Rhinolophus ferrumequinum: one gene and its partner. The protein of the gene in region 2 interacts with the protein of the main gene of each other region in a biochemical or structural test. Links are inferred from orthologs where the notes say so. Each region holds a gene or a part of one and is shown on either strand. Other genes may lie near its edges.

Region 1 (11,699 bases), on a different chromosome or scaffold from region 2:
TAGCCCAAATGCCACTTGCTAAGCTGCACCCCTGCAGGCCTGCATCTACCCAGAGGGGAGCCCTTTACTAACAAAGGCCAGCAGGGCCGCGTTCCAGGTCCTTAATTCTATCATTCCACATGTAAATATCAAATGGGAGGAGTCTATGCCCAAGATAGGAAGGCAGAGGGGTGGGGTCTTGGGTTCAAATCCTCTGCACTGGGAGCTCTGACCCGCCTTGCTCTCCTCCCCTGAGTCTTCACCTCTCTGCACAGATAGAGCTGGCTACAGCCCAAGGCCAGAGCAAAGACCAGCCAATCAGCAAGAGTCTGGCGCCAAGATGTGAGAAAGTGTCGCCTATTATCAATGATGAGAAAGTGGCTGCTCTCACCACCCAGCAGCCCTGCTCCACCAGGGTTTGATTTCCAGTCACCAGCCTTCTCCCCTCCCTGCCCCCCATGCATTCAGTGGAATGGCGCTGGATCTAGGGGAAAGGGGAGTCAGATTCCTGCCGCCAAAGCATCTTTGCTCATGGATGGAACGATTTAGCACCAGATTCCCTAGAGGGAGGGGCTGCTGGCAGCTTGCTTTATATTTCTGTTCCCTAAAAAAAAAAAAAAAGCAAAAAAAAACCCACCACAAACTGCAGGTCTAATAAAACTCCCAAGACTCTTTCCCTGGCCCCAGACCATGCAGTTCCCATTTGATGCCAAAAGGAAGTATGGGCTCTCAGGTCATGGGAGCAGAGGGGAGTTTTAATGGTCATTTTGGACATTCCTCTGCTTCCACATTGACCAGACTGTGGCCAACAACACTCCCTTCCCTCCGGTCTTTTAAGATATCCTGAGATCTCACCAGGCTTCAGTGGAGGCAGGGGCCGGACAGATTGGCTCAGTCTAGGAGGCAGCCTGTGGTCCTCAGGAGACCAGCAGGGAAGGTGTAGGTAGCATAGGAGGGGGACATTGGGTGCCACTACTCTCTCCTCCCAGGTGGCAGGAACACAACCGGGAACATCTGCAAACCAGAAGCTTTGGGGATGGGTGGAGTCCCAAATACAGGCTTTCCCCCAGGAGGCTAGCTAGCGAGATTCCAGAAGAGTCTGTTCGGATTTCTTTTCATCCTGTAGAGCTCTGCTTAAATATCACTTCCTTAAGGAAATGGGCCTGTGTCCCTATCCCTTCCCAGATCAAGTGGAGCTGTCCTGTTACATGTTCTCCCTTTTGACTATTTTTGTCTGATCTGACACTTTACAGAGTCCCCACTGGACTATCAGCTCCCTGAGGGCAGGACTGACACAGTACCTGGCACGTAGTAGGGACCCAACGTGTGTGCTTGTGGAATTATGAAAATATGATATGACCTCAATTAATTGGAACTCCAGGAATGACTTCTGGATAGCCGAATTTCCCGAAAGTCAAGGCTCGGCAGCTCTAATCACCTAATGGTTTCCATTTTAGCCATGGTGGCTGCACCGTTCTCTGACTCTGGAACATATCTTCATGGTTTCCTCATGACTCAGGAACTCAATATTTACACCAGCAATTATTCTGAGCTGCAATTCAGTGAAGCCCTTGTGTTCTTTTCGCCAAATTACCACACTTTCGTCTCTGACTTCTCCTGTCAACTTTTTAAAATACTTTTTCTGCCTCCTCCATTCCTGTCAAGATAACAGTTGTCAATTCTTGCTGCTACCAGTGTGACCTCAGTGGCCCCTCCATTCTAATTTATTAGGTCTAATTGAATCTTTAGAAACTAACGTGTTTCCCCGAAAATAAGACCTAGCCGGAGAATCAGCTCTAATGCCTCTTTTGGAGCAAAAATTAACATAAGACCTTGTGTTATATTATATTATATTATATTATATTATATTAAAGACGTGGTTTTATATTATAGTAAAATAACACCAGGTCTTATATTAATTTTTGCTCCAAAAGACACATTAGAGCTGATTGTCCGCCTAGGTCTTATTTTCGGGGAAACACGGTATGTAACTAGCCTTGGTAGGAAGGTGTATAAAATGAGTGTAAGTAGATTCTGAGCCAGGAGGGGGCAACTTTCTGAGTCAAAAGTGTGAGCTATACTGTTGGTAGTATCTACTGCTCAGGGTTGCTGTGAAAATTAAATGAAATAATTTATACAAATCTGTCTGGTGTACAGTAGGAGTTCAATAAATGTTAAGTATCAAAGAAGTATCTTGTCTTAGGGAGAGTGAGCTGCTGACCATGGGGGGGAGGTAGTGGGAGGGGAGAGCTTAGCCAGCCCCAAAAAGAGGAAAGCACCTAAGAGACAAGGGGCAGAATAGATATGAGGAAAGACTTAGCCACCAGGGAGTCTGAAGAGGGCATGGGGACCAAAGGAGGATGGGTAATTGCTCTCCTTAAAGTTAATGAATTCAACAATTATTTACTGAGCATTGAAACAAGAGTTTCCAATGAGACATGGTCCCTGACCTCTGTGGGGAGTCACAGTCCCATGAGTGAGAGGAAATGTCACCCCAAACAGTTACTCCAGAAGCCATGATACTGAGGGAGAAAAACTTGAGGAATTGTCTTCATCCCCTGACAGCTGGGGAAACTGAGACCCACAGAGGTCACTTTGCTAAATGGGCTGATGCATGGCCACTGCCACACCCTGTGTTGGGTCAAGCGGGGGCAATCTTGGGAAGCCGAGAAGGATGACCAGGATCCAGGCTAATTGCTCCAAAAGGATCAATTTACCAAAATGACAGATGCCAAGTGCCTGAAATATACATTTATTAATTACACTTATTTCCAGTTTGATGGAACAATTTCGTCCCATTTTTGAGAATGTTTGCAATCTTTTTATTTTTGCCATTTCAAGGCTTTCAAAAAACTAAGGTGGAAGTACCTGTAAGTGAATTGACTTAAGAATCTTTTTTTAAAAAATTAAAACTGGACAAAATAGAAAACACACCAAAATAGTTGGAAGAATGTTAAACTATTTGAATGCTTCAGTGTGATGAACCCTAACCATGCACCCCAGCTTTAGCAAAGGGCTCCTTAGGTGAATGGAGCCATAAATGACCACCATTGGTCGTTTTCAAATATGTGGAGGGTGTTTTGAGGCCCATGTAAAGCCAGGGGAGGCACTGGCACATGCCCTCCACCCCCTTAGGGTGGGGTTGAGTGTGGGATAGGAGACATGAGGTAATTACTGAGGCTGAAGCGAGGCTTTGAGAGGGGGGCAGGGACTGCATTGGGGGAAGGGGCTCAGTTCCAATTTTGTGGTGTCAAGGGCATAGGACACTGATCTAATCTCTGGGGCTAGTGGTGGTTCAGGGCCACATGTCCCTCCGCGATTTAGAAGGGGGTGGAGTAGTGGCTGCATACGGAGGAAGGGGTAAGCTCCAAGCCAAGCATCCTGGATTCCCAGGACACCACCACTTACTAACTGGGAGAGCCTAGTTTCGTGCTTGAAAGTCTGAGAGGTTCAGCTCCTTCAACTGTAAAATGTGAATAACTAGATTTTCTCTGCTGGGACCTTTTAAGGATTAAATAACCGAAGAGAAATTACTCAGGGCAGTGCGTGGCACACAGTAGGCACTCAACCAATTTTATTATTCCGCCTTCCCACCCGGTAGCCCCAGAGAAGAATCTGGGCGCGTGAGTGGGACTGGGCTGGTACACGGGTGGAGACCCCTTCGCTCCCGAAGCCGTCTCCCCCGCCCGGCCGCTCGCGTCCTCCCATTTGCTGCCCTCGCTGCATCCCTATTAGGCGCATTAGCCATCCCCGAGGCTCCGGTTACAGACGTCTGAATGACAAAGTGCCTCCATTACCGGCGCGGCCCGCCAGCCGACCCGCCGGGACGCGCTCTGGTTTCAGCACTCTCTCGCCGCGGCCCAGGAAGAACTCGAAGCGCCGCGGTGCGCAGAGCCAGCCCGTAGAGAGCAGCGGTGAGGCGGAGGCGAGAGCCGCAGGGGCTGCAGGCGGCAGATTCTGCGCCGCGTCCACCTTCCCCAGCCCCTCCACGCCCAGCTCTCCTCCTTCCTCGCCTCTTTCCACTCTGGGAACACTCTCTCCAACCCGGGTCCGGAGCCCACCCCCTCGCCCCTCCGGGATCCGCACTACTGGCTGCCCCAGTCCCACCTCCCCGCACCCCCCGCCGCCGACCCAGGAGCATCTCTACCCCGCGGCGTTAGTCAGCAAACGTGCCCGCAATCACTCTCAAATGCCCAGACAAAGCCACAGGTACTGACAGCTCCAGGGAACCTGGGCTGAGCTTTGGGGAGGGGACAGGGCCCGAAGAGGGTCTCTGCCCACCCGGCCTGACTCTGGGGGTCGTGTCAAGCCCACCCCGTCGACAAACGCAGCTCTTAATCCGACCTGGAACCCAGGTTGCCCCCTTAAGTGGTGCGGGGAGCTGGTAGCTGGGAATCAGGTGAGGGGCAGTCTAGCTAGGACTCTGGTTGCTTGTGGGATCTTGGCCAAGTTGTTTAAACTCTCAAAGCCTCAGTCTCCTTATCTGTAAAACGGGGATCTGGGGCGCTATGCTCAGATGAGAGATGAAGATGGCAGGCAGAGTGAGGACACCTCCTCCATTGCCAAACCTTACAAAGAAACTCTGTTCATGGCTACACACCAGGTCACATACCCTGAATATTTTGTCAGAACTACACGGCCGACTTAGATGCTTAAGGGGACCCGCAGTCCTTTGCCGAGACGCAGTCCGAGGCGTCTGAGCGCCTCTGTCTGGTTCGGTGCTCAGCGTCTTCATCCGAAAGCTGGGCGGGGCACAGGCGGAATCCCGACCTGCCGGAGCGCTGGAGCGGAGCGAACCGCGAGCGTGGCGTTCGGGTCACTTAACTTAATGGGGGACCGGCACACACCCCCAGTGACTCCCGCCGCTGCAGAGGGCACAACTCTCGCACCGCAGCGCCCCCTGCGGGCCGCCTGCGCCGCCCAGAGCTGCGCGCTGCCCCGATATTCCCCGCCTGGCGCGTCCTGCATCCCCAGACTTGGCGGCGGCCAGATGCGATCTGACGACGCTAGCTCCATCCCTTCCGGTCCGCCGCGCTGCTTCAAATCGCGAGAAGAAGCGCGTCGGGGCAGCCCGCGGGTTGTAGGAGAACCGGGGAAGAGGGTTCGCCCCGGCGAAGTGGGCGCTCCTTTCCCAGCCTCTGATTCCCAGCCGCAATTCCCGGACTGGGCGAAGCCGCGGGAAAGAGCGCGCGACAGGCGCGGGAAGCGTCCGTGCCTCTGCGCTCGCTTCTGGTCCCGCGGTCCCTCGGCGGACCCGTGGGGCCCCGACCACCTTCGGATCCACTCTCCCTTCTCCGTCCTCTTTCAGTTTACTTCCATCTCTCTGCCTCCCTCGCCGTCGTCCCTTTTCTGCTCTCCCTAATCCACTTCTCTCTCTTCAACAGAGCCCCCACGCCCGAAGCTCTCCCTCCCACGCCCCTCCCCCCATTGTCTGGTCAGGTCTTCAGTGTCCGATGCCCGCTTCCCTCTGTCGCTCCAGCCTCCTTCCCTATTGTTCCGTCCCTTCGTCTCTGGTTCCCCACCCCAGCCCCGCTCGCCCCTCACATCTCTAGTCCCCATCTCATTCCTCCTTCTTCTCTAGCCTGGGTTCCGTCCCACGACCCTCCAGAAATCAAGATGCTCAGAGAAAGTCGCCTCGAGATCCTGGCATTCACGCGTCCTCTCCATAGAACCCAAGCATCCGAGAGCCCCGGGGCCCCCACCTCAGAGACCCCTCCCGGCTCCTCCACACACACCTCCGCGGTACCCGAGTGCCCGCATCCGTGCGCCCCTCTTGCCCACATCCCTACCCTGGATCTCTGGGTCGCCTCTGGCCTTGACAACCCTGGACGCTCCTCCGTGGATCCTGGCATCGGAGCTCCTCTCCCGCCATCCATCCCCAGCGTCTGGGACCCCAACGCTCTGTTATGTTTTCCCTCGGGGAAACCTGAACTCATCGGGGTTCGGGTCCTGTCAGAAGGAGCGGACTCCCCTCGGGCTAGCACTCACCCCCAGGAGCAGCAAAAGCAGCAGCAGGCGCAGCGGGTCCATGGCGCATCCGGCGGCACCTGCCCCCATCGTCCGCCTCCCGCGGCAGCGCCCGGCTTCCAGTTAGTCCGCTCCGCGGACAGATAGGGCTGCGCTGCGCTCCAGCGCCCGCCCCCCGGAGCTGGCCGAAGCTCCGCTCCCTCTGGCTGCGGGCGGGAGGGGTGAGAGAAGCCAGTGCGGCGGCCCCGCCTCCTCCCCGCCCACCCCCGGAACCGCGCCCGCCCGCCCTGCCGCCTCCGGGAGGGTAGTGGAGGGGGAGGGAGGGCGTTCGCGGAGCCGCGCCCGCGCGCCCCGCTGCCTCTTCTCGGCGCCCTGGCCTTGATAGCCTCTCCCCCGCCTCGCCCCAGTACCCAGAGGCCGGCCTGCGCTAGGGCGCGTGGGTCCGGGATGCTGTGCGCTCCGGACCACGGCAGCCCCGTTCCCCTCCGGCTTCGCCCACCCGCAGGATTCACCCTCTTACCCATCTTCCTCTGCCTCAGGCTTCATTCAGCTTCTTCCCTGGTGCCCTGCTCCCTACCCAGCCTTTATCAGCAAGAATGCCCACTGCCCGCCCCGCCCTCCATCTCCTGGTGCATACCCTACCCCTATCCTTGCCCCTTCCCAGTGCAAAGGCCTAGACGGAGGGACGGAAAGGAGGAGCAGGTGGCCTGACCCTGGCGGTGTGCAGCGGGGACATTCAAGGTGGATTCCATCCCGACATCATTTGAATTCTCAAAAGATGGGTTTGAAAGGGTCATAAGTGTTCACACAAAACACAGGAAAACACACCCTCAAGCTGACATATATATGTATTTACGCACCACATATGCCCGCACCACTCTCATGTAGACCTGCACATTCTACACAGGCGTATGCACCTCCACACTCAAGCACACATGCACACTTGTCACACGTGTCATAATGCTCAAACACATGCTCACCTACACATGCACGTGTACATGTACAGTCACCGCCACACAAACCTTCACATGTACATTCTCTTGCACAAGTGCACACACACATTCGTGAGCACACAAACACTCTTACACCCATACACAAACACTCAGGTGTATCAACAGTATACACCTAGTATATTCACTAGATTGTGAGTGTGTCCATTAGCTAATGACACATCCACCCGGCAGAAAGGTACTATGCTTTCTTATCTGAATGCCTGGTACACAGTAGGTGTTCAATAAAGGTCTTTAGAAGGGAATAAATGGAAAAGTGGTTAGATGGACTTATATCCACGTACCCATCCACGTTCTGTGTAGGCATCCCACACTCACTAAGCCCTACAAAAATTGGCAGGTCCAAAGCATAGGCTTGCACTCCCAGGGATTGTAAAAGCAGTCTTTTGTGGGAAGCACCGTCACCCCCCACCTTGATGCACACCCCTGCCTGTTCCTACCCTTTCCTGGTTCCCAGACATGAACCCTGGAGCACAGAGCTGTGGGGCACGGCCACAAAGCCTGTCCTGCACTCTGACCTTGGCCATGTGTGGACCTCAGTTTCCACTTTGAAAAAAATAGCACTCTCCTCCCACATTATAGGAAGAAGGAGAGATCAGTACACTTGTGAAGAGGGCATGCTAGCAGTTGGTAGGTGTTTTCCTAGATCAGCTGAAGCTAAATCATTCATTCATTTATATGGGGGAAATTTGCCCTGTGAATTTCTTTCCTATGCAACTAACAAAGTCCAGGGGACAGCCCCAGAAAGGACAGGTAGACACCATTGTGGCCTTGAGCATGAATGTGGAGGAGCCACCACTTTGATGGCTGGGCATAAGAGGCCAGGCGGCCAGGCCCTCTTCAGAAGTCCCTGAGGACTCCGTCCTGCCGACAGGGGCCAGCCTTTGAGCTGTCTCCCGCTGCTTTTATGGCCCTGCCTTTCCTCTCAGCTGAATTCCTAGAAGACAGGAAGGGGCAACATTAGTACTAACGGCAGCATCGAGCTGCTTACTACCACGGGTATCCACAGTGTGGCATTCGTTTAAATACTCCTGTTATTAATTTATGATCCTGGTTACTATTATTGCCAAGGTTATCCACCTCAACACGATTTAATATGACTCACACTACCATGGCTGGGCCTGGGTTATTAATAATTTCCATGGTCTTGATCATTTAAGCCTTACGTGAACAATTACAAACTTACTATTATTACCAACATTTCTGTGATTAAGCCCACGTACAGGCCCACGATGTAATGCTGAGTGCTGGCGGGGACAGTGGCTCTGCCAAGTGCGTAGAGGAAAGAGCACCGAACTGAGAGTCAGACAGACCTGGCTATCAACGCCGACACCGCCCACCCACCCCCAAAGTGGCTTAGTCCTGTATGGTTACGTCATCTCTCTCAGCCTCAATTTCCTCTACTGTAAAATGGGAATTTTCAAAAAGATCCTGTCTTGAATGGGCAGAGTGAAGGACAAATGAGGTAACAGTGCTCATCACAAGGAGAGACTCCCCATCCCCTTTTACTTATTCAACACACATTTATTGAGCACCTGCTACATGCCACACTGTTCTAGGCACTGGGGATACAGCAGTAAACAATGGTAGCTGCCCTCATGGAGCTGGTGTTCTAGGGTATTAGGAATTTGCTGTGAAGGATTCTTTTATCAGGTGGCACGTTGGCTTCTCCGTACCATAGATAACAGCTGAGATCAGGATGTTCCTTCGCTGGTGGCTGCCCGCATGACCGCCATCAGCACCACTGTCACCATCTCAGCCACCTATACCAAAAGCAGCACCGCTGTGACCACCATCATGATAACACCAGCGTCACTACCAAAACCACCGCAGCTACCACTGCCGTGACTCCCTCCCACAATCTTCCCATCACTACCATGACTGCCATACCATTTTCACCACCATCCCCACCATCCCCATGACTGCCGGGGCCCTAGCCACCACCGCCACCCCCCTTCCTTCATCTGCACCACCACAAACAGCAGGTATTCCTGCTCCTAATGCAGGCTGGATACTTAGGTCCCACCCTTTTCTTTAGAACCATATCAGAGGCCTTAGGAAGCCACTGCTTACCGACCCTAACTCTCTAATGGTTGGTTGTGAGTCCTGGCCCCAAACATGAGCGTCCTTCAAAAATGTCTCCCTGACCCAGCCCTCTTCCCCCTAATCCTTAGCACTTGCGGCCACTGCTGTGGGATGAGACATGGGAGAGGGCTCTTAGGAGCTGACCGGCAAGTGGGATCAGACAGGGAGCATCAAGGGGGTAGCTGTTTTCATGGGAGGGTCCCCCAGAACCATCTCCCATGACAGAGCTGCACATACAAAGGGCCCTTCCCCCAACCACACACACACCAGGGCTTCCTGGACCTAAATAGGGCCCTTAAGGTGAAAGGGTGGAGAAAATCATTGCAATTCTCCGTGAAGCTGTGTGTGGGAGTGGTGAGTCAAACTTAATCTTCAGGAGTTGAAATGGGTTTGCCCCTCCCCTGTTCATCTCCTGACCCTTCTGTCACCAGGAAGGCAAGCTCCTGACACACTCTCCCTGTCTTCCTATTCCGTCAGGACCCCTCACCTCAGGCCCTCTGCAGAACATTGCTCACAGCTCCCCGGGCCTGTCTCCAGCAGTCCCTGGGGAAGCAGCCTGCAGCCCCAACCCACTTCTGAGCAGAAATGCGAGAGCAGACAATGAGAACTCACATTTACTGAGACGTCCTATGGGCTGGAAATCCACACAGTTATCTTCTTTAACCCCCCACTTCCATGAAGGAGGTGCTGGGAGCACCATTTCACAGATGAAGAGACTGAGGCTGTTAAGCCACTTGTCCAAGGACCCCAGGAAGCAGTGGTACCGTAAGTAGCCACTGTACTGCACAGGCCCTCAGCAGCCATACTTCTGCTCAGTAACTCCGATGTCCTGTTGCTCCTCCTTTCATCCCAGCCCCTCCAGCCTCATCCCAGTGAGTTGGGGAGACAGAAGCTGCATGTCAGGGGGGCTGCCCTCCGTGCTACCACTCAGATGCCCCTCCTGACACGCATCACAGAATCTGGGCTTGGAGGCCTAGGGAGGGTGGGGGAGGCCTTTTGATAGAAGGTGTGATTTTCAAGCTCTCTTGGTGAGCGCTCGCTTTTCTTGCTTTGGGAGAATCACCTCCCCTACCCCCAGTTCCAATGTCCAACCAGAGAAGGGGTGAAGGGAGATGGGCAAGGAGACAACAATTTCTCAGGGGGCGGAGGGGAGGAGGAGGTGCCAGGCCTCCCCCAGCTGCATCCCATCTGCCCTGGGCAGGCAGCCAGGCAAGGTAAGTGAAACCCGCTGCCCCCCATTAGGAGTTGGCTCGGTGGCTTTGAAGCGTGATGCAGTGATTACCTTGGAGCTGACTCCTTCTGGGCTGCAAGGGGGGCTTGACCAATGAGGGAGCAGCGTGGGACTTGGGGACGGGTTTGGGGTCAGCTCAGTTTGATTCTGGAGCTGCGTTAATAGTGAGAGGGGTGGCAGGACTTAGTCAAGTTTGGAGTCCAGTTAGATTAACTGGAGCATCAAAGTGGGCCAGTTCCACCATGCCCTCCCCCGCCGTCTGCTCCAGCCTAAGGCCCATGCTCCCTTCCTGCCTCCACCCTGTCCTGCAAGGGGCCTGTCTAACCCACATTCATCAGCCTTCTCTCCTCCGAGCCCTTCTGTGGGTTACGTCCCCCTGAGAGTTGTCTTCTCTCTTCCTTCGACGTAACAGTAGAATTGGTCAAAGCCTTCCATCTTCCCATTTGCAGTCTTTCTCTACTTTGAAAGGCCAGCCTCCCTCCTACCTGTGCCCCATTCTGTACCCATACCTCTTGTCAAGAAATCATAAGATCTGGTCAATTTGTTACATAGGTGGTAGGGACTTAATTTCCCCAGACTTTGTGTCTTGGAGAAGGGTTGCCCAGAGAGGGCAATACTATACCCACGCGCTTCACTGGAGAGAGAGTTCCAGTCTTTGTGTAAGGAGGAAGGGGAGAGATTCGGCATACTCCCTAACTCGGGGCAGCCGTCTTCCTTTGCTGACTCAAGGGGCCACCCTCCCCGGCCTCTGGCCTCATCTGTGCAGCACACATTCCCCTCAAGTAGCCTTCCTCTAGGAAATTCCTCCTGACTCTCAACTTGATCTTTCCCAGCCCAGCAGGATCACAGAGCTGCCCTGCAGTTCTGGAGGATTTAGTCTTCTCTCTCACTTTTTATACTGTGTTCAAGTACGAACAAGACAATTTAAAGAAAAACTGAGTAGGGCTACACTGAGGCTGGAGCAGTGTGAGGTCCTCAGGTGGGAAGATAAGTGCGATGAGGCATCCTAAGATGTGGGTGCCAGACCGTTTATTTGTTGTGTGCCCTTGGGCCAGTCCTTTTCCCTGCTCAGTTTCTTCCTTCATAAAATGGGCATAAGATACCAGTCTCAGAGTTACTTCCAGGGGTCAGAGAGGTATTGAGTGAGTGTGCTTTGCAAATCAAGAGAGCTGGAGAGATGTCAATTACTCTTGTTCTATTTGCTGCTGCTGGTGTTGGTGGCTTCTGGCCTGCAGGCTGGAGACCGGATGAGGGGTGAGATGACATTTCAGCACTGGAGACCCAGGCTCCCAGCCTTCCTGCTGCAGATAAGAGCCAGAGCTGTGACAGTCCTTGGGCTCAGCACAATTCCCACGGGAATCGCTGGGGGAGGAGACATCCCAGGCCTCAGCTTATCTTCACTCTGGCTCGTCTGGGATGTGGGGTCA
Region 2 (11,504 bases):
TCCATCCCGAGCTTACTTTTTGGGATACGTCTCATCAGTTGATCTGTCTGCTTCCCCATTGGATAGCAAATTCCTATGTGGCAGGAAACATGTCTTCTTGCTCCCGTTTCCTTGTACCTAACACAGATCCTGCCCAGGACTGTAACCGGGGCCTGGAGTTGGACAGAAAGCCACCCAGGATGCGGCAGAGCCCACCGAGCCCAGACTCCTCCAGAGAAGCCTTGCCAAGGAAGGCGTGAGGCTCCTGCCCACCTCAGCACCACAGAACCCTAATTGTTCCACACGGTACCCAGTGACAGGAAAGAGCCGCTGTGATGCTCTACGGGCAGAATTTGATCATTGTGAACCTTGAGCCAGCGGTATCTCTGGGATGGGCCCAAGAAGAAAGCCCCATGCCAGGGGCAGTGCGAGCCATGGAGGGAGGACCTGGAGGAAGATTCTAGAATGGCAGCAGGGCTGTGGAGCCTCATGAGGAGCACTGAGGATTTGTTCTAGTGCTGGAGGAGGGGAGAAACACAGAGGTGTCTGAAGACAGCACCCATGAAGACCTGACCTGGGCTGTCCGCGTGGTGGCCGGGGGCCATTGGAGGCCTTTGTGGGGACAGAGTTAGACCAGTCTGGAAGTTGGAGGCTCGCCGCTGTTTGGGTCAGGAGAGCAGAGGCTACACCAAAACGCCAGGAGGCCGGCTCCATGCCCCTTGCACCCAGGAGCTTGGCGCCTGCAGCACCAGTGCCGGTTTCTGAATCCGTCTCATCCTCCTTTCCAAACCATGCTCACTGAAATCACAATTTGTTTTTTATGGGCCTGGCCTATAATATGCACTAAATAAATGTTTATTAAATGGGTGAAGTCACTTCATAGAATTTAGGTTGCACATGACTAGAGGCTGTTTCGCTCCCTTGAGGAACACCTAATACCTCCAAGAGGACTGGCATATTGCAGGGGCTCAGCCATCGTGTATTTAACACCATTCGTGATATCCTTGTAAGTAATTACCGTTATTATGGCTGCAAGAGGACAGCTCTTCCTCCCAAGGTCACACCACCTTAGCGGATAGATGGAGTAGGTGAGCTACATCTTTCTACTTCCAAGCAGTTGGCGTTCCTGGGCTGCGGTGCCCCCGCTGGAGAAGAGCTGAACTGCGCTGGGCCCAAGGAGATACCTGAGCTGTCCCAGGGCTGAGATCTAAGGGCTGCTGCCGGCTGAGCCACGACCAAGGGCTTTGGATGGAGGCCCTGAGGGTCGGAGGTGAGATGGCAGCACCGTCCTTGCTAGCACCCACGCAGGCCGCGGTCCGAAACAAGAACCCAGGTAGCACTTTGCACATATGAACTCTCCAACTGTTAGTGACTGAAGGAGCAGGTGTGGGGTCAGAGCTGAAGCGAGGGGATCAGTATGGTAGGAGGGATGGCCTGGGAGGCTGAGAGTGGAGAAGAATGTCGCGCCCCAGGACTGAGCCATGGGAGGCACAGGCATTCGAGGGCCGACGGAGAAATCAGAGCGGTAGATGGCAAACCAGGAAGAGCACAGTCACAGAAACTCGAAAGGAAAGTGTTCCATGCAGGAGGTCCTCGGGGAGGAGGCTGAGGACCGGCAAAGTCTGATGAACTGCGCGGAAAGAAGGAGAAGGTACGGTGTTTGACAGCCAGTGCTCCACTGGCGTGGTTCAAATCTCTACCGGCCATTTCATGGGCTATGAGTGACTTACGCTGAGCAAGAGACTTACCTCGTAGGGCTTCAGCTTCCTTATTAATAAGTGGGTGATACCTACTTATAGGGCCCATAAAAATGCCTTGCCCAGGACCCCAAAACAAGGAAAGCAGCCAATAAATGCTACGATTGTTCTGTTGGTGGCAGTGTTGTTATTGCAACTGGTGACCTTTAAGAAGAAAATATCAGGTCAGTGGGGAGAAGGGGTGGGGAGGGGAAGAAGATGGGAACCAGACCGCAGGAAGTTGAGAGGAGCCAAAGAACAGGTGGGTCACTTTGCTGAGGCATTTAGTGGTGCAAGAAGTTGCGAGTCCAGAGACTGGGTGTCAGGAGGGCTAGCAGTTTCCTTAGGAGAGACAGGCAAGTGAATGCAGACAAGCCAAAGGGAGATGGAGAAACTGAAGTTATCAGAGAGAGGGTGAAAGCCAGGAGCAGCTCCCGGGAGGAGGCAGGGATGGCCCCCAAGAGGAGGAGGGGAGCCCAGCCGTTGCCATCCCCAGTGTTCTCTGCACCCTGGTCTGTCTTTGCTCCTTTACCAGTCTCCCCACTAAGGCCAGGGCCCAGAGGTTTTTCCCTCAGCCTCTTTCAGAGAGTGTGAGAGAAAGCAGACTCGCCTAGAAATCAAGAGGCCTGAGTTCTGGCCTGACCCGGCCCATTTATACTCAGCTAAGACCCCGTCCTTCCTGAGCCCTGAGTCCTCCTCCATAACTGAGGTGGCTGGAGTGATGTTCTCGGTGATTCTGTAACCATGCCATCACACTAAGCATTATAAAACATTTCCTCTTCTAAAGGTGTTCTCCACTCTGATGAGAAAGAAGGGGGAAGCAAGTCTTTGAGCTGACGCTATCACTTCCTCCCGCAATTGGGACAATATTTCTGTTTGGCACATATTGCCAGCAGATCCAGCAATGCCATCCGTACTGGCAGATCTCGGCCGAGCCTCCTGGTGTTTTAAATAGCACATGTACTTTGCCTTGCCCTTCTGGGATGAAGCAAGAGAGAGGCAGGAGCTTTGTGCCAGGCTGAGTGTTGCTGTGGACGAGGCACTCAGTGGCTGCAAACTTCTGAATCCTCAGAAATAACAACAATTACTGTGCACACACTACACTCTCCTCCACGGCAGCAAATACATCAGCTGCTGGTTATTTTGATACCCGGGTGAAAAAGCTCTTTCGAGAAAATCTAGTACAAAAAAACATTCTTATCCTCTACTTGTCTGCACCATTCCTTCTGCCCGCTGCCCTCTCAGCTGCTTTCCATTCCTATAAATGTAACTGGTCCAGGCTTTAAAGTCCTTCTCTCAGTGACCCAGGAGAAGGAAGTGGAAGAGGCAAGAGAAGAAACGCTGACTATGGTCTCTGTGTCAAGGCCAGTCTGACCTGGAACCTACTGGAAACCAATTCAGTGTGGATGGGTGTTATCTGACAGCCGCAAATGTCTCTGACTGTTGTAGGATTCAACAAGCATTTACTGAGCACCTACTGTGTGCCAGACTCTGTGCTAGGACCTGGGGAGACTGTGATACACATGGCCGGGCCTAAAAATCCAGTCCCCATCAAAATGTGAATTCTCTGAGAACAGGTAGGTACCTCAGCCATCTCACAGCGCCTGGCAGGCACATAGTAGGCACTCATAATTAATCTTTGGAGTATTTGTTTGTTGCTTACACGTTCTTATTTACTCAAGATCCTTTAAGTTCAGGGACAGAAACAGAGCTAGACAAGGATGGAAAGGAGCTCTTATTAAACCAACATGTGCCATCAGAATATGATGAAGAATTGGGGGGGGTGGCATCTAGCCTTACATTCTGCTTACATCATTTTTACATTTCCCTCTTACACACCACATAAAACAAATAAACAAACAAACAAAACAAAACCACAAGTCCGCCAAATCCTTTTGTCCTTCTGGGTGACGCCACAAGAACACATGCAAAGGTTCTGCATGCAACTACCAAATTTGATTCTAAAATTTTCAACTTTATCCCTAACTTCTCAGGCAGCTATTTTGTAAAGGCTTAGGGCTGGTGCTTTCAAACAAGTTTATACACGACATGATTGATGAATGAATTTGCCCTATTGTATGGAAATTCCTTTGTTTAATTGACAACGATAAATGTCCTAATGGATAGCCCTGACTCTGGCGCTAAGTCTGCAGAAAAGGCCATCTATGGTGGGCCCAGCAGCTAGCACTCTCCTCCAAAGTGTGTTCATCCAACCTGTTTGTACAACTCAGAACAACTCAGAAGTGGACAAGCCCTCCCTGGGAGATGAAGAGGCCACACGAAGGCTAAAGCTGACTTCCAATTCTGGGGATTTCTTCCTACCTCATCCTTCTCACAGCAGACAGCTATGCAAAGCAGCAGGGCAAAGGTGAAAAGACCACCAAGTGGACACCTCAGGCCAATCTGTGTAAAGGGAGCTGGAAATGCCGAAGAAGGGCTTCAGCTCGCCAGTGCCTCCCCTGGGGCGCGGGGGTGGGGCAAAGGGCCACCCTTGGACTTAAAACAGGAACCCCTCCCTGTACCTCATTAAATCAGGGCGCCTGAATTGTGCTGGCATGTCTTCACCAACAAAGGGATTCAGTGCCCTCCCCTCCCGTGCCCCATCCCTTCCTCCCATGTGGCACCAGGGACAGGGTAGGGGCTCAGCAGACGGTTTACTCAGGGAAGAAGTGTAGACTGAGTTTAACACCAGGGAAAGTGGGTGTGAATTTTGAAAGACGTGTGAACCCCCAGAACATTATTATAATTAATGACGCACATTTGCTGAAAAATCTGGCTTCAGGGGTATTTCTGCTACCGTGGGGCTGAGGTGGGAAGGGCAGGCAAGCTTCCCTGTCAGCCTCTGAATCCATGGAACACAAGAAATGCTGGAGGGCCCGGCCAGCCAGGAGGTCACACCTCCCTTAAAGTCTGCAGCATGCGGATAAAGAGGAATTGGGGCAGGTCCTGGGGTGGCCAAGGAGTCTTGCTGTCTGGGTCAGTTTAGAGTCACAGATCCCTTGCAAAGCTGATAAAAGCTGCTGACCCTCTACCCAGAAAAATGCACGCAATGCACACAGATGTACAGATTTACCTACAATTTCAGGGACCCCAGGAAACTTCCAGAACTTAAGTTAAAGCCCTGAGTCCAGGTCCAGACGCCTAACGCCTCTGTCTCTGTCCCCACGCCAGACTTGCCCCTGCCCAGGGGCCTTCTAGATGGTTCTGGCTCTCAGAGCCGCAGCTCTGCCTCCTATCAGAGGAGCGCCAGCACCTGCGTCTTCCAGGGCTCCCCTGGGTGCTCGCTTCTTCAGGGGTGACAGGAAGCATCCCAGGCGAAAAGTTCCCTTGGCCTTTCTCTCTAGGCTGTGAGGGGCAGCCATGCCTAAAGCACGGGAGAGTCGTGCTGGGAGGACGGGGTGGGGACGGGGTGGGGTGGGGGGGGGTAGGGAAAGGGGACACAGATAGCGGTGCCCCAGAAAATCCCTGCCTGTGCTGGGCTCGCACAGTCCCTCCGACCTGTGTGGTTCCCTTTGACTTCTGGGGCTTTGAACCCTTCCCTGACTGGGGAGACTCAGCCCTCCTGGGAGCTGATCGCTAATCCCCAGGACCCCCGACAGCCGGGCACCTCAGTCCAGCACCAGCAGGTGTGGGCCTGGGGCGGGCCGTGCCCGGGGCAGACTGAAGTGAGGAGGAGTCCGGGAGGAGGGGCTAAGAATTCCAGAAGCCAGTGTTGAAGCCGTTCGGAGCTCCTGCACCGCAGAGTGCGCCGGGAGCCGGAGAGGAGCGCAGCGCTGGGTGAGTCCTGCAGCCTGGAGCGGAGCCCCGAGAGGGGCGCAGCGTGGGCAGGGGTGCTGGCGGGCGGGGAGGAGCTCCCGGGAGACAGTGCCTGGCTCCCAGCCTGGTAAGATCTCCGGGCACCCCCGAGGATCCCACGGGCTGAGGTGCAGTGGTGAGAGGAGTGTCCCGAGTGGGCGCAGGAGTGCGGGAGCCTTGGCAGGCGAGCCGGCGAGCAGGGGGAAGCAGCGCGCTCTCTGGTCTTGAAGTTCCCGGTCTCCCCGTGGCCCGAAGTCCCGGAGGCCACCCTGGCGCCTGCAGTAGTCCCGCGCGGTGCCAGACACTACTAGCTCGAGTGCTAGAAAGGGACAGCGCGCAAGTGAGGGAGAGCAGATGAGCGTGGAGAGAGGGATGCGCGGGCCAGAGGGTGGGCTGCACCGCGGAGGGCGAGAGCATCGCGCGCGAGGTCTGGGCTGTGCGCCTAGTCCGGAAAGTGCTACGCTGCCCCCCAGGTAAGGGGACCAGCGAGGCAGGGCACGCTGAATCTGATGCCAGGAATGGAGGCAGGGTCTTTGGGGTCTTCTCCTCATTGCTGGAGGGCTGAGAGTTCGAAATGAAGGCCCCCGGGGCTTAATGGAGGAACCTTGCACACCAAGAGACCTCCACGGATCCGGGTGGACCGAAGTCGCTGGGCTACTTGGGTCACACGCCTCACCGCCAGCTGTCTGCTGCCAGTTGTGGGAGAAGCTGGCGTGGAGGGCTGAGGTGGGCAGCGCCTTAGGTCCTGGAGGCAAAGACCCAGGGCAGAGAGGACTCAGGGGTGAGGGGACGGCACCTTTGAGCCAGCAGAAACCACAGAGGCTTTGCTCTGTTTGATTACAACTCTTCTTACTCTCTCAAAAAGAAAAAGAAAAAAAAAGAAATCCCTGAGATTCTCATGGAAGGTGTTTTCTGCTTGAACTTTCTCTTCTCTTGTGACTTGAGCGATTAAAAAAGAGCCTGCTTGCTAGGCTGGTTTTTCCAAGTTGTTCCAGGTTGGAAGTTGTAACTGTTTGAAGGATAATTTATGGGTGTTTCATGCATTAAAGTGCATTACAGCAAAGCCTTTGGGGTGCTGTGGGTATTAAGGAAAACTTCGTGCACGTTCCCAGCTGGAAACCAAAATAGTGCTCTCCTGGGTGTCTCTGCCCTGTCAATCATCTGAGGCTAGTGGAAATCCTGGAGTAAAGGCATTTGATTAATTATCCTGGCTCCATCCGCTGGGCGTACCCACTGCCAATTCCGGGCCCCTCCTCCCCCACATGCACAGCCAGTTGCATTCTGCAAACTCAGAAATGGTGGTGGAGGGCCTACCAATAACTTTTCTCCAGGGTCTTCAGACTCTTGAAGCTGTCAGTTAAGTCTGCCAGCAGGGAATATTTCTTGCGACGTGTTTACAGCTTCCTACCGAATGTCTGAAACTTTCTCCCTCTGCAGAGCCGCAGAGGAAAGTCTAGAAAGTCTGCATTAGACCTGCATGGGTCTCTTCTGTGGCATAAGTCATATATGTCAGCCTGGGCAACCCAAATGTCAATCCATGATGGGCAGTGTTCCAGAGGTTCAGAGGGCACCCAGGACTGGCGAGTGAGTGGTCTGGGGGCTGAAACCTGCCCTGCTGGCACTGACTCACAGAAGAAATCACTGTTCCTCCTACTTGGGTCATTGGAGGGCCCTGGGGCTAACTTCATGTGCTGCTAAACCTCTCCCCCTATCTCTCTCCAACATTTTTATGTAGGTGAAAAAACCGGCAGCCTTGAAGGGAAAAATGTTAGGAGTCACCACAAATGGGAAACTAAGGTCTCTGAGGCGCGGGGACACGTGTTTTGAAAGAACTGTAGGAGTGTCTCAGAGGATTTTGGAACCGGCTCTGGTGCCAGCCCTTCCCTGAGCCCAGGCCCACTAAGAGCATTTGGAAACTGGGTCCTCTCAGGGCAGTCATCCTACTATTGGTGACTTTCTGTATCCTTAGCCTTTCTCAAGGAGTGAGGGTCTCACCTTCTCCCACTGGCCACCCAGAGTACCAGAGGGAGGAGGTGCTAAAGCTTCACACTCCGCTTCTCTTATGTGGAGAAACCTGTGCCTTGGCCAGGAAGGGGGCCCCAGCTGCCGACATCAGCAGGGAGGGTAGGGCAGGGCAGGGCTGCAGCCCGAGGGAAGTTTCTCATCGTCACTGAGATTAAACGACTGAGAAAATCGCACAACTTCACTTTTAAATCAGTGCTGAGCAGACTTCTGCACATTCAAAGAGTGTCCAGTTGTAGTGGCAGCAGCTTTGGGACCACAGAGAAACTGCAAAGAACACATGGCTGCTGTTCTTCCCTGCTCTGCATGGAGCAGGGGCCAGGCCCGGGCCCCCAGGCACACATCACTGTCACACCAGGGACTAGAGGCCCAGCCATTTGTCTTCTCCCTATAAGGCCTCATAGAGACTTCGGGGTTCAGAGCAGGTGGGTCTTGGAGACCTTTGCTGGCAGCAAATACTTTCTGCTCTCAGGAGGCCGAGGAAGGCTTGCTGAAGATTCACTTAAAGTCTCTCAGCAAACAACTCATATCCCCAGAGGGTTTCTCTTTCTTTGGCCCCTCTGATCTTGCAAACCATCAGCTACACCATCAGCCCTCAGGCTTAGCCGTCCCGAGAAATCAACTCTGTGATGGACCAGTTTCACAGAACAGCATACGGGGCATCAGGCAAATACATGGAGATGGACGACCCTCCCCAACACATGCCCAGCGACCTGCTTCCTGACAGTGGGCACCCTCACTCTAAATAGCAGTAAAACCGGGATGGCCCTAAGGCAGAAATGCAGCTGGAGAAACTGAGGATTGGGGGTGACTGGCCTTTCCGTTGGGTGTACACAGGATTGTCACTGTTTGAGCCAAGGAGGAATAGCCCTTCAGACACAAAGTTTGGCCAAGACCAGATCATGAAAGCTTACAATAAAGAAGACATTCTCAGGCTTTGTGATGTTTTCATGGTTCCTCTGTGGGCTACTTGACATGTTTTTGAGGTGTCCCCAGGGACTGTTGGCCTCAGACTATGACACAGTCAGAATCAGATTGAAACGTTACGATGATCTCTTGACATTTTTCTCCAGTATTTTGGGTAAACTTCCGATGGTAGTTTCCCAAGCTCTGAGACAGGAGGGAAAGTGGCTTTGTGACCTTAAGCAAGTCACTAAACTTCTCGGGTTTAATTTTTCCTAATTTATAGGACAAGTGCATTGAATTAATAATGTTTCTTGATGGGCTACTGGCAGTTGGGGACAATTCTTGGTGAAGTATGACCTATTGACATAATGCAGGATGCTTAGTATCTCCTCCTTGCCTACTAAATGCCAGACGTCATGGTGACAACCAAACCCACCCCCCCCCCAACACCATTTTTGGCTCACTGCTTATTAAAAGGATAATACTGTTTCGCGGTGAGAACGCCCTTGGAAATCACCAGTAAGGCCCCTTCTTCCAGGCCCTCATGGGGGGTCTCTATTTAATCACTGAGTTGGGCTTCAGAAGGCCAGCCCTGGGCTTGACCTTTAAGAACCAGCATTTCCGACTCCAGGAAGTCATTGATGGGGCCTTCCGTGCTGTGGTCCCAGCAGGTGTCATGCTTTGTCTTTTGTCAATGGAGTGTGACTACAAATGACCCACCTGAAAAGGAAACCAGAATGAGTGGGGAAAGGGACAGGTGGTATTAGAGCATGGCAGCTTCCTTCTGGGCCATATGTTATTGAAAACACAGGCAGGTTGCTTGCCCCAGGTGTCCACGGCCCTGGGGGGAGATCCCTCCCTCCTATACTAAGTGGACCACACTCTGACACCAGGAGGTCCCTTCCCTGAATGAGAGGACAAGGAAGTAGAACCCTTCCCAGCACTGACAGCACTTAATACAACATGGGTACGTGTTGGTATCAAATTAATACAACTGTGCCAAGCTGTGAGAATGATGTGACACTTGATTGAAAACAAAATAGGCCAGCAATGCTAGCCTGAAGGGTTGGTGTTTGTAGTAGCAGTGGGTTTATTCTCAAGGAGAACAGCTCATGTCATCTTTACCTTTTCCCCAAGGTCTCACTGGAGGACAAAAAAGAGAACCGTTTGGTTATTCATAGTGCACAGGGCTAAAATGAGTATCTTTGGAGGCTATTACAGGAACACCCACTTGCCACTTACCCCCAGGTAGAGAGAAAATTACCGAAGCAGGAGGGCTGGTCGAGTTTGGAGTTGATTTCCGATGAGGCAGGAAAAAAAATAAATAAATAAGACCAGGAGACCTAAGGAGATCTCTCTGAGGTTGAGACGAGTCTGATAACACAGTCTGTCAGGGGGGATGAGCAAACGCTTTTTGAATGGCCCAAGAGTTTGGCCAACCTCTTTCACTTGTGGAAAACCTTTTTATTAGCAGTATTAGTCAGAGCCAGTTTGCAAGACCAGAGGAGTTTCCCTGAAAATTCACCACCAGGCTCAGCAGATGGAGATGTTTTGGCACCGCCGGTGGTGGCTTTTGCAGGTGGAGAGCCCTGCAGATGGAGGGATCTGGTCTGAAGTCGGTGGGAATGAACCGCCCAAGCTTCCCACCAAAGCCGTTCCACGTGGAGGGCCGTTACAATCCACTACTACTGAGCACTTTCCCGGGAACCACAGAGTATTTGCTATTTGGGACAGACGGGCTGATTTTCCCATTTTCTTTGACTTTTCCGTCAGTAGCCAGGGTTCGTTATGTGTCATCTGTCGGCTTGCTGCGTGCTGTTCCGGAGGGAGCCCAGGGAGGACCACCCGGGGGAAGCCGTGATGAGAGCTCAGCTCAGGTTGGGGGTGCAGGGAGGTCTTGTCTCAGCCCCTCATCGCTGTGGATCTGAGATGCAGTTACAGCGACTTGCATGTCTCTCTTGCCCCGCCTGGTGAGACGCCATCCCATGTTTGGACCTGAGGAGACCTGGCTGGGAGGTGAACACACTGGGGCACCGTCTTATCTCTGTCAATAACCTTGTAAGGAACCCCCACGGTGTGTGGGAGATGCCAAGAGAGGCAGGCCCGCTTGGCACTGTGATTTTGAAGGGAGGGACAGTCATGCTGGGCTCCAGCTGCCTGAAGGATGCTGAACTAGGTAAGCAGAGAGGAAGGAGATGCAGGAGGACATCTCCTGTACCCGTTCTTCCGTAAAACAGAGAGAACAGTAGTATCTCCTCTGCTGGGCTATTGTACACAGTAGGTGGTATGATGTCGGGCGAACACCAGCATAGGCCAGCACACAGTAGGCACCTCACAGACATGATGAGTTCCTTTCCCTCATGTTCTCCCCCAGTGGGACTGATCTGAGAGGGTCCTCTCTTCATGCTTTCCCACTTCAGATCAGACAATATCATCTCTCTTTTTTTTATGTCTATATTTCGACCTTCTGTAATTAACATTCTCATGTCGATAGACTTTTAACCAGTCTCTTCCTCTTCTGAATTTTCTTTGCCTCATCATATCCTGGTAAAAAGAGAGTCGTGGAGATCCGCCTATAATTTTCTTTCAGAGGCAAACGTCTCCTCAGACTTTTATTTTAGAAATGTTATGCAATGCTCTCTAAATAAGGCATTTCGTGAGAATGGCCACTTGTACTGGCAGCTTTCAGAGTGTTTTGGTCCCTCACCCCACGTAACAACTCCTCCTCCTCCAACAATTGGTGTCTTTAGCATTTTTTGTATCTGATCAAGTTTACAAGAGAAGGAGGCTGTGAATTTTTCTATGGTAGCAGGGCGCCCAGAGGATCCGGCGCTGAACAGCTGTGGCTGAATTGAATATGACCTGTGGTTAAAGTGGGGACAGTCCCCACGCCACTGGCTACCAGGCCACTGAACTGATTTTCCTTCTCCCAATTAACATCTTTATTAATATGCTAACTAGGGGACTGAGTACTGTGGGAGAATCATTATAAACATAAATCATGATCCTGCCCAAGGAGCTTGCTCAAGCGCCACGATGAAAATGGCTTTAGAGGCTTATCCGATA

Evidence for each region.
Region 1: the proteins of NGF (region 2) and NGFR form a complex in vitro, tested with the Homo sapiens proteins (2 studies listed by BioGRID and IntAct, with this or other methods). The link is inferred for Rhinolophus ferrumequinum from reciprocal best matches to the Homo sapiens genes NGF and NGFR.

What each region holds. Positions count from the first base shown.
Region 1 is NC_046304.1:33,857,070-33,868,768, forward strand, and holds the start of NGFR (tumor necrosis factor receptor superfamily member 16), read right to left. Parts: upstream 6,153-11,699; 5' UTR 6,037-6,152; coding exon 5,968-6,036; intron 1-5,967. UniProt on the Homo sapiens protein: Low affinity receptor which can bind to NGF, BDNF, NTF3, and NTF4. Forms a heterodimeric receptor with SORCS2 that binds the precursor forms of NGF, BDNF and NTF3 with high affinity, and has much lower affinity for mature NGF and BDNF.
Region 2 is NC_046305.1:45,831,756-45,843,259, reverse strand, and holds the start of NGF (beta-nerve growth factor), read left to right. Parts: upstream 1-5,434; 5' UTR 5,435-5,492; intron 5,493-11,504. UniProt on the Homo sapiens protein: Nerve growth factor is important for the development and maintenance of the sympathetic and sensory nervous systems.